Linked DNA regions of Arabidopsis thaliana. The protein of the gene in region 2 interacts with the protein of the main gene of each other region in a pairwise test. Each region holds a gene or a part of one and is shown on either strand. Other genes may lie near its edges. The genes, in order: CUC3 and AT5G52650.

Region 1 (4,834 bases), on a different chromosome or scaffold from region 2:
CAGAAATATTATCAGAGCTATAAAGATTATAGATCCCCTGACGAAAAATAATTTAGATTGTAAATAGTACAGAAACTATATATAATAAGCATTTAATAATGGATAGGCTTAGGTAAGCCTATGCAAGTACAGCAGGTTTTGAATTATTGGATGAAACATTTGTTTCAAATATTAGATTTTAATTTTTATAAATCTATTTGTGTAATACTTATATATATATATATATTTAAAAATGAATATTATAGGGTTGTGTAGGGGTTAGGGTAAAAGAATGACTTGGGAGATTTAACATAAGATCGTGTGGGCAGTTAATATTTAGTGAGATAGATAGATAGTGTAGTACGTTTGCATTTATTATCTTTTTACCTGATTCTTTTGTATCATTCTACACACACGTGCCACCGCCGACACCTGCTATCTTTCTACTGTTTCATTTTAATTTTTATCTTACATTTTTGTCAAACATTTAATATCGACAATATGAATTAAAAGTTTTTGTTTCCAATTATTTTTCTCACAATAATTTTTTAAATAGTTGTGTTGAGACACTTGACGAAACTCATGCTTTATGTATTGTTGGTTTACTATAAACCGAACATGTTTGCTTCGTTTTTTTTTTTTTTGAAAAAATGATAGTAAAAATATGTGTCAAAACCGAAACACAAACAACCTTATATTCCATTTTTTATTATGAGGAAGAGTATAGAATCAACCGAACCAACAAAAGAAACAAAGTGTAATACACAGAATTGAGTTAACCGTTGGAGAAAGTGGTTAAAGGAAAAATAAGGAAACGATCGAAAGGAATTGGTATATATCTGAGGGGAGAATGTGTATAAAATAAAAGAAAAAAAGGTCTGACTCATGAATGTATAATGATATGCTTACACCCGCACGCATAAACCTCTGCCATCTTTTTACTGCACACTCTTTTCCTTTTCTCTTCTTTAAAGTCAATTTTATTTGCTGATAACCACAAAATGTAGCAATTTTAGATTACATTATTTGTTTCACATTTCTTGAAATCTGAAAACTTTTAACTGCGACTGCAATTGTTTTGGTTGAGAAATCGATCGACTTGGAGTATGAGATTACCTTCTTATCAGTGTCTTTAGTATAACGGTTGCATTGCATATATATTTCCTCTCAAACTTTAATGATATCAGTTCAACTAGTCTGGATCAAATGTAATATTGATACTTTCCTTGAAAACACATTATTTGGTGCGTGGGAAGAATGATCTTAAAGAGATGATAAAGGGCACTAGAGTTTTGGTTTTCTTTGTAAAATAGTGTATTTATGCAAAACTCAACATTATATGGATGTTTGCATTATGGTATTTTTCAACTAATATACACCCAAAACAGTATCCTTATTAAACAGCTCTCTCTCTCGTTTTGTTCAAACTAACAAGAGAAAAATGTCAGCTTTTGTTGAAAAATAGATAAAAATTATGACATAAAACCCAAAACCAAAACGTCAACACCATTTATCATAAATTACATTTGTAGTTAGCTAAAGTACAAAAACAACACTGTAAATGATCCATTGACCAATCGAGTAGTCATTAACGAAAGATCACAACTTAACATCACCCAGTCTAATCAAAACTCCAAGACCATAAGAATTTTGCTAAAGCAGCAGTATAGTGATAAACACACAAAACGGGAAAAGTTGTTTTACAATTTAGAATGTCATATACTTTAATTATTATTTGCATAGGGAAAAATAGAAAGAGACTCACTCCCCAGGTGAGGGCAAATAGAAGCCCCTGCTCCCTGAATTTCACAGCCTTTATCATCAATGCTCCTCTAACCTCAAACACTCAAAATCCACACATCTATACACATACCTCTACATACACACTCCATTTTCTCTCTCTATCTCTATTATATCTTCGATTTATGTGCCATTTTGGTATATAAATATATAATCTTGCACACAATAAGGTTATACTTCCCATCACCTTTTGTATCATTGCTATCTTTGTTCTTCCTTCTGGTGTCTCTTCAGTGTAACAAAAAGTCTCTTTTTCAGTTATATTAAGTAAAAGATGATGCTTGCGGTGGAAGATGTGTTAAGCGAACTCGCCGGAGAAGAAAGGAACGAGAGAGGATTGCCACCTGGCTTCCGGTTTCACCCGACGGACGAAGAGCTCATTACCTTCTACTTAGCTTCCAAAATCTTCCATGGTGGTCTCTCCGGCATTCACATTTCCGAAGTTGATCTCAACCGCTGTGAACCTTGGGAGCTACCAGGTAATATATTATACATTTTGTCTCTTCTTTACCTCATAAGTTTTATTTTGGAATCTTGTTTTTAGTTGAATATTTTGATAAATCTTTTAACAAGAAAAAAGTGTAACGTTTTGAAATTGTTGTTATATGAAGAAATGGCGAAGATGGGAGAGAGAGAGTGGTACTTTTATAGTCTAAGGGACAGGAAATATCCGACAGGTTTGAGGACTAACAGAGCAACTACTGCTGGATACTGGAAAGCTACCGGCAAAGATAAGGAAGTCTTCTCCGGCGGAGGAGGACAGCTTGTTGGGATGAAGAAGACGTTGGTGTTCTACAAAGGTAGGGCTCCACGTGGCCTCAAGACTAAGTGGGTCATGCATGAGTATCGCCTCGAAAACGACCATTCACACCGCCACACGTGTAAGGTAAATTAACACTCTTTTACTCTCACTCGTGCGTCTCACTCTCACTCGTGCATCTCTTTCTTTAAAAAAATTTGTATTTTTTCTCTTGTCAATTTATGAGTTGACTTTTTGAAACCAAAAATTTTATACTACTAGTGTGTGAAACTAGTAATTTAAACCCTGTTACTTTTATTCCCACACGTCCATTTCTTATAACATTAAATTCTTTTTAACTTTGCGAATGTAATAGAAATTTGATGTTTTTGTTCTCCATTAATGTGTTAACTTTTTAAATCCACAAGTTGAAAAGAAAGGTTTAACGAAATATTTAACTTTTTTTTTCCCATTTCATGTGTTTTGTTTCAATAGTATTGTCACTATGTTGTTTGGCTTAGTATGGGGAGGACAGGGGAGAGAGCAGTTTAGATGTGATAGATTTGATATAAACCTGTACGTGTGGTGTGGATGTCAACACCAAACACACCTTGCCGTTTTCTGTTCACCGATACACTGTTGTGTCGTTTTCCATCACTATTGCTTTCTTTTGTATCCCACCTTTCTAATTACATTTATCATTATCAGAAATCAATTTGTCAGGCTCACATTTCAAACAAGATCTTAAGGTGTAGGCATTATATAATGTGTAATAACATGTTTTGGTTTTTCATTTCTTTTTGGTGGAAATTCACAGGAGGAATGGGTGATTTGCAGAGTGTTCAATAAAACAGGAGACAGAAAAAATGTTGGATTAATCCATAACCAAATCAGCTACCTTCATAACCATTCACTCTCAACAACACATCATCATCATCATGAAGCCTTACCTTTGCTTATAGAACCTTCCAACAAAACCCTAACCAACTTCCCATCACTACTCTACGATGATCCACACCAAAACTACAATAATAACAACTTCCTTCATGGATCATCAGGCCACAACATCGACGAGCTCAAAGCCTTAATCAACCCTGTCGTCTCTCAGCTCAACGGTATCATCTTTCCTTCAGGGAACAACAACAACGACGAAGACGACTTCGACTTTAACCTCGGCGTGAAAACAGAGCAGTCTTCGAACGGTAACGAAATTGACGTACGAGATTACTTGGAGAACCCTCTGTTTCAGGAAGCGAGTTATGGTCTGTTGGGTTTTTCGTCTTCTCCTGGACCTCTTCACATGCTACTAGATTCTCCATGTCCTTTAGGATTCCAGCTGTAGAATCTTGGCCCTTGGATTTTATATTTGGTCTTTTCTTATTTTCACCTTCTGTAAAATACAAATTATATAAATTATTATTCCTAAGATCCAAAATCTTTTGTCGAACAAATTTCTTAAAAGTTATGTGGCTGATTGCTGTAGCCTTGCAGGTAAAAGCTATTATTGTGTTACAACTTTTGATGAACTGTATTTTGTGGGCGTTTCACTATTCGATGTGATCTCATAAATACCAATAATATTTGCAACTATTCTGACGTCATTCTTGTTTATTTATTCTTTTTTGCTTTTGATAGACTATCCCTCATATTCATTTTTTTTTGTTTCTTGTTTTGAAGATTTTTTTTTTTTGTATGAATTGTGTTCATAATTTTGGGACTGCAAAAATGACATTTTCTGTTACAATGCTAAATTGGACCGGTTAAGCGGGCTACAATGTCTTTGTCAGTTTGGTTTACCTGCTTTAGCAAGTTTGGTCATAGTTTCGGACTATGAAGCCCATCACCAGCGAGGCCCAGAAGTTGACTTTAACTAAATATTAAACACCAGCGAGGCCCGCTGATAAAATAATATATAACGAATTATGAAAACTAATTTAAGTTTGAAAATAGATGGTAAACGCCTAAACGAGTAACAATTGTTATGTGGTCTTATTCTTGATATATGAATGATCGATAAATCAAGATTTTCAGCTTTAAAATATAATATAAATTCATGATGCATTCACATATAAATTCCCTAACATAAAATACTTAGTTTATTAGATATGTAGTCTTATTCAAGCGTGAAAGTTCTAAAAGAAATTGGTTTCTGCTCGTCAAATTTGAATTTGAACATTACGTTGCCTTCAGATATTGTCAACCGATGATGATTTTTATTTAACTGTAACACCACTACCTAGGTAATAAAGCATTCATGGAAAAAAAAAAACTAATGTGTGGCTTACTTTTTTTTTTTTTTTTTTTTGTCAATAACTA
Region 2 (4,278 bases):
ACAATGGAGATCAACCCCGACAACGGTATAATGGAGGAGCTCAGGAAGAGAGCTGAAGCAGACAAGAATGACAAGTCTGTTAAAGATCTTGTCATGTTGCTGTATGAGACAGCTTTGTTGACGTCTGGATTCAGTCTTGATGAACCGAACACTTTTGCTGCTAGGATTCACAGGATGTTGAAGTTGGGTCTGAGTATTGATGAGGATGAGAACGTTGAGGAAGATGGTGATATGCCTGAGTTGGAGGAGGACGCTGCTGAAGAGAGCAAGATGGAGGAAGTCGACTAAGAGATGAAGAAATTGCTCTTATGGTTCTGAAAACTTCTAATATGTCGAGTTGTTCTGAGTTTTAAGATTTTCCAAAATGTCTTTGTCTTTTTTTTTATATCTTTAGAGTTACTTGAACATTGTGACTACTTCTAGGGTTGGGTTTGTGTCAGGTCTGTTATATCGTGTGGTGGGTCTGTCTAATACTGATTCAAGTTTTTGTTATTCAGCTAAGGAACTTTTCTTGTTTCTGAACAAATCTTTTGGTTCCCTAGAGTAAAACTTGACTTCCAAAAGATAGACTTCCTAAGATCACTGGAATAGATAGGAGTGACAACTTGACGTGAAAGGTAGCTTGGCTATAGTAATTTTAGATCTGACAAAACGAGATCAAGAAGTTAATAATTTTCACAACACCAATTTGTTATCGCTTAAAGGTTGATTGATTTGTTCAATAGGGGGAATCATATTCTCGCATGCTCGAAAAGGGGAGAGAAGATGGAATGAACATAACTTTAAATCGGATGTTTGATTCAACAACAAAACTAAACTCAGATAGAGATTATGAAGGATTCCGGAATCTGAATTACAAAAGCAAAATTTAAAGCTGAAAACTCCTCCATGGTCTTACTGTCACCTAAAGACATTTCTTTTTCAAGGCAAACCTGAACCAGATGGTGCAGCTGCGCTGTAGCCACCAGCACCACGGCCAAAACCACGGCCACTTCCCTGATAAACAAGAAAGGATGTTAGAACAATGGCAACCAAACAAAGAGAAGGCGGGTAAATCAAATCACAAGGCAATTATATAACTATAGACTTTGAAACACTTCACAGCTAAAGTAAAAGATTTATGTTCCTTGTAACTAAAGTGATAAAGAGAGACTAAATATGTTCATGGTTTCTCAGGTTCAGGAGCTCTATGATAAAGACTTCAAGAGTAGCACATTATATGACGTTGGTGAGATAGAGAAGTAAATAGAAGGTATGGTCAGTGAGAATTTACTTGGAAAGATGGCTGGTAATCTGCGGGAGCTCCACCCTTTTCACCTCCAAACTCACCACCAGCTCGAGGACCTGCACGGTACCCATCACGGTCACCAAACCTGGGACGGTCTCCTCCTTCATGGCGAGGTCCTCTGAAATACAAAGAAACCCAAACCATGTCAAACAAATTAAAAAAAAAAAAAGTTTTTGCCAGACATGAAATGGGTTAAGCAAAGAGTTAATCACCTTGAGCGATCACCAGGTGGGCCACCAAATGGACGACCACCAGGCTTAGCTGACTTCTTCAAAGTAGCAGGAACAACATCAGATGGAAGATTAAGATAAGTTCTCAAGAACTCGATCCCTTCATTGGTCAAAAACCAATAGTAATGCATCCAGGCAAATGTCTCCCTAACATACTCCTTGGATTTGAAACTCTGCATAAGCTTAATCACTTGTAGGTTGGGGACATCGATCAACGGATGCTTAGCAAGATTGAAATCCTTCTTCGCAAAGCAAACTCCTTCTGCAAAAATCATAGAACATATGATAATCAACACAATGTTCACCTTCTAAGCCAAACATCATAATTGCTACCATAACTAGTTAACCTAAACTAGTTCAAAAATCACAATGTTCATCGGCATAAGCCTAAAAATGAATCAATTTACTCACAGAAGCTGAAGAAAACAGAGATCTAAGAACAAATTTAAGAAGAACGAACCTTTGAAGAGGTACTTGCAGATTTCTTTGCGGTTAGCCTCTGAGATAATCTGAGAGCAAGAAGGAAGAAGAAAATGGTCAAAATTCAACGAAACAACATTCTGAGACACCGGAGAATATGATGAGAATAGAGAAATAGATCAAAAGCAGAGCTTGTGTGTTACCATTGTATCGGTAGGAGATCTTGCTCGAGCAGAGAGTCGCACGGAACTTCGAGAGAGCAAAAAACTAGGGTTTTCGCAGGACTAGAGAAGACGATGACTTTATATGCTTTGTTTTGGGCCTATAATGAGTTCATTAAATATGGGCCTTAAGTTTGGGCAGTATCGGAGACTGAGAAACTCAAAATGATCTTGTCGAATTGAATTAAGAATTGGGGGTTTATCAAATTATTTGATGATAACTATATTTAATATTTTATTAACCAATACTTACACTCGTTGTATTTATATTTACGATGGTTTATCCTCTCTTTTTTGAAAAGTTTATATCTTGTAAATTTTGTGACATACGTTTAAATATTATTTACTATAACTTTGATTTTTTTTTTTTTTTTACTATAACTTTGATTACTTTATATATTTTTATCAGATTAGTTAATTCTATAAATTAACATATATTTTTATTAATTACATATATTATCTTGTTAAAATAATTTCCAGTTTAATTAATTTATTTGCTCCATATTGTAACAAAAAAATCTTTGAGAGATAAATGTATTTTTGTGTTGTTTCAACAAAAAAAAAAAGAAGATAAATCTATTTTTGTGTCAAAAATTTGTTATGAGAAATTGTGACATATGTCGAAAGAGATTGTGAAATTGAGAGATAAATGTACTTTTATAGATTATTTAACAAAAAAAATCAATTTTCAGTAATATATATAGAGGTTGATGAGCAAGCGAGTTTGTAATCACATTCTTGTCCATCATCTTCTCTTCTCCTTCCAAACTTTTGAGTTTTTCAAAAAATGGTTAGTTATTTTTCTTAGTAAACCTATTTATGTGGTTATATAATAAATTCACTAAAGCTTTAGTTTTATTTCATTGTTTGTAGTCGATGACGATTGTATTCAAGCATCCAGGATATCCCGAAAAAAAATGGCGAAAAGGATTCAAAATTGCAGGTGGTTTTCCAGGTACAAACCTACACACACCCAACAATTATATTCAACAAACGAATTTTGAACAATGTGAATGATTGTCATCTTTTTATTATTATATTAGGAGTTGATGTCATAAGTTGTGGTATCATGGACGACGTATTTGCAGTGAAGGGAGAAAATATTGATCAAGATAAGTTACTGGAGAAAATAAAAAAGGTTTTAAAATCTGTCGAAATCATTGATCACACCAAATACCCTCCGGATTATTTTTTCTATGATTTCTAATAATGATGTTTATTTTTCTTTGGGCAAATAATGATGTTCATTTATGTTTTCATATTCTATCAAAGTAATTGGATTTGGTGTAAGTCTTAAGATATATTAGTCCATTCTTATAAGTTGTAAGTTATAAACTTTTTGTTCAAGAAGATTGATTTTCCTTGGATGCATAGTCGAGAGTATGCCACTAAAAATAGCTTAACCATATTGGTCTACACTGTCACCTTATTTCTTCCTCTATAAACGAATTAAAACGAAAGCATACAACGCTATTATGAGATTTGATTTGGTCTCCCATCAAAGAGACAGATACATACTTTAACAAAAGCTCAAAACAAATTTGAGAGAGGGAATGGTATATGATTACAATTCTTGTTTAAAATATGATTAATAACTTCTTCTAGAAAATGTTTTATATGCAAACCAGTCAAACCATCATTTGATTTACATCTATTTAGAAATGTATTTATCTATTTCATCACTAAGAATGTGTTTTATCACCACCTCCAAAATGTGTTTACAAACAAATGAAGCCAACTACAAATTATTGATCTTGAAATCTGTCGAAATCATTGATCACACTGAATACCCTGCAAATTATTTTTTTTATGATCTCTAATAATGATGTTTATTTTTATTTTTTACTTTTATTTTTCTGAGGCAAGTAATGATGTTTATTTATGTTTTCATATTCTATAAAAAAAATAATTGGATTTGGTGTAAGTCTTAAGATATGATCAAATTAAAATATATATTAGTCCATTCTTTATAAGTTATAACCTTTTGATCAAGAAGATTTGATATTCCTTGGATGCATCTTTTCTTATAGTCGAGAGTATGCCACTAAAAATAGTTTATCCATATTGTTATACAAATGGTCACAGTCACCTTATTTCTTCCTCTATAAACGAATGAAAA

Evidence for each region.
Region 1: the proteins of AT5G52650 (region 2) and CUC3 interact in binary tests that used the Arabidopsis thaliana proteins (3 or more experiments, as listed by UniProt).

What each region holds. Positions count from the first base shown.
Region 1 is NC_003070.9:28,671,055-28,675,888, reverse strand, and holds CUC3 (NAC (No Apical Meristem) domain transcriptional regulator superfamily protein), read left to right. Parts: upstream 1-1,843; 5' UTR 1,844-2,053; coding exon 2,054-2,258; intron 2,259-2,390; coding exon 2,391-2,665; intron 2,666-3,335; coding exon 3,336-3,860; 3' UTR 3,861-4,083; downstream 4,084-4,834. UniProt on the Arabidopsis thaliana protein: Transcription activator. Involved in molecular mechanisms regulating shoot apical meristem (SAM) formation during embryogenesis and organ separation. Required for axillary meristem initiation and separation of the meristem from the main stem.
Region 2 is NC_003076.8:21,354,860-21,359,137, forward strand, and holds AT5G52650 (RNA binding Plectin/S10 domain-containing protein), read right to left. Parts: upstream 2,361-4,278; 5' UTR 2,145-2,360; coding exon 2,142-2,144; intron 2,028-2,141; coding exon 1,979-2,027; intron 1,781-1,978; coding exon 1,501-1,780; intron 1,407-1,500; coding exon 1,274-1,406; intron 997-1,273; coding exon 922-996; 3' UTR 682-921; downstream 1-681. Other genes in the region: HSP90.1 (heat shock-like protein), read left to right, coding at 1-288; AT5G52655 (uncharacterized protein), read left to right, coding at 2,947-2,949, 3,033-3,114, 3,203-3,366.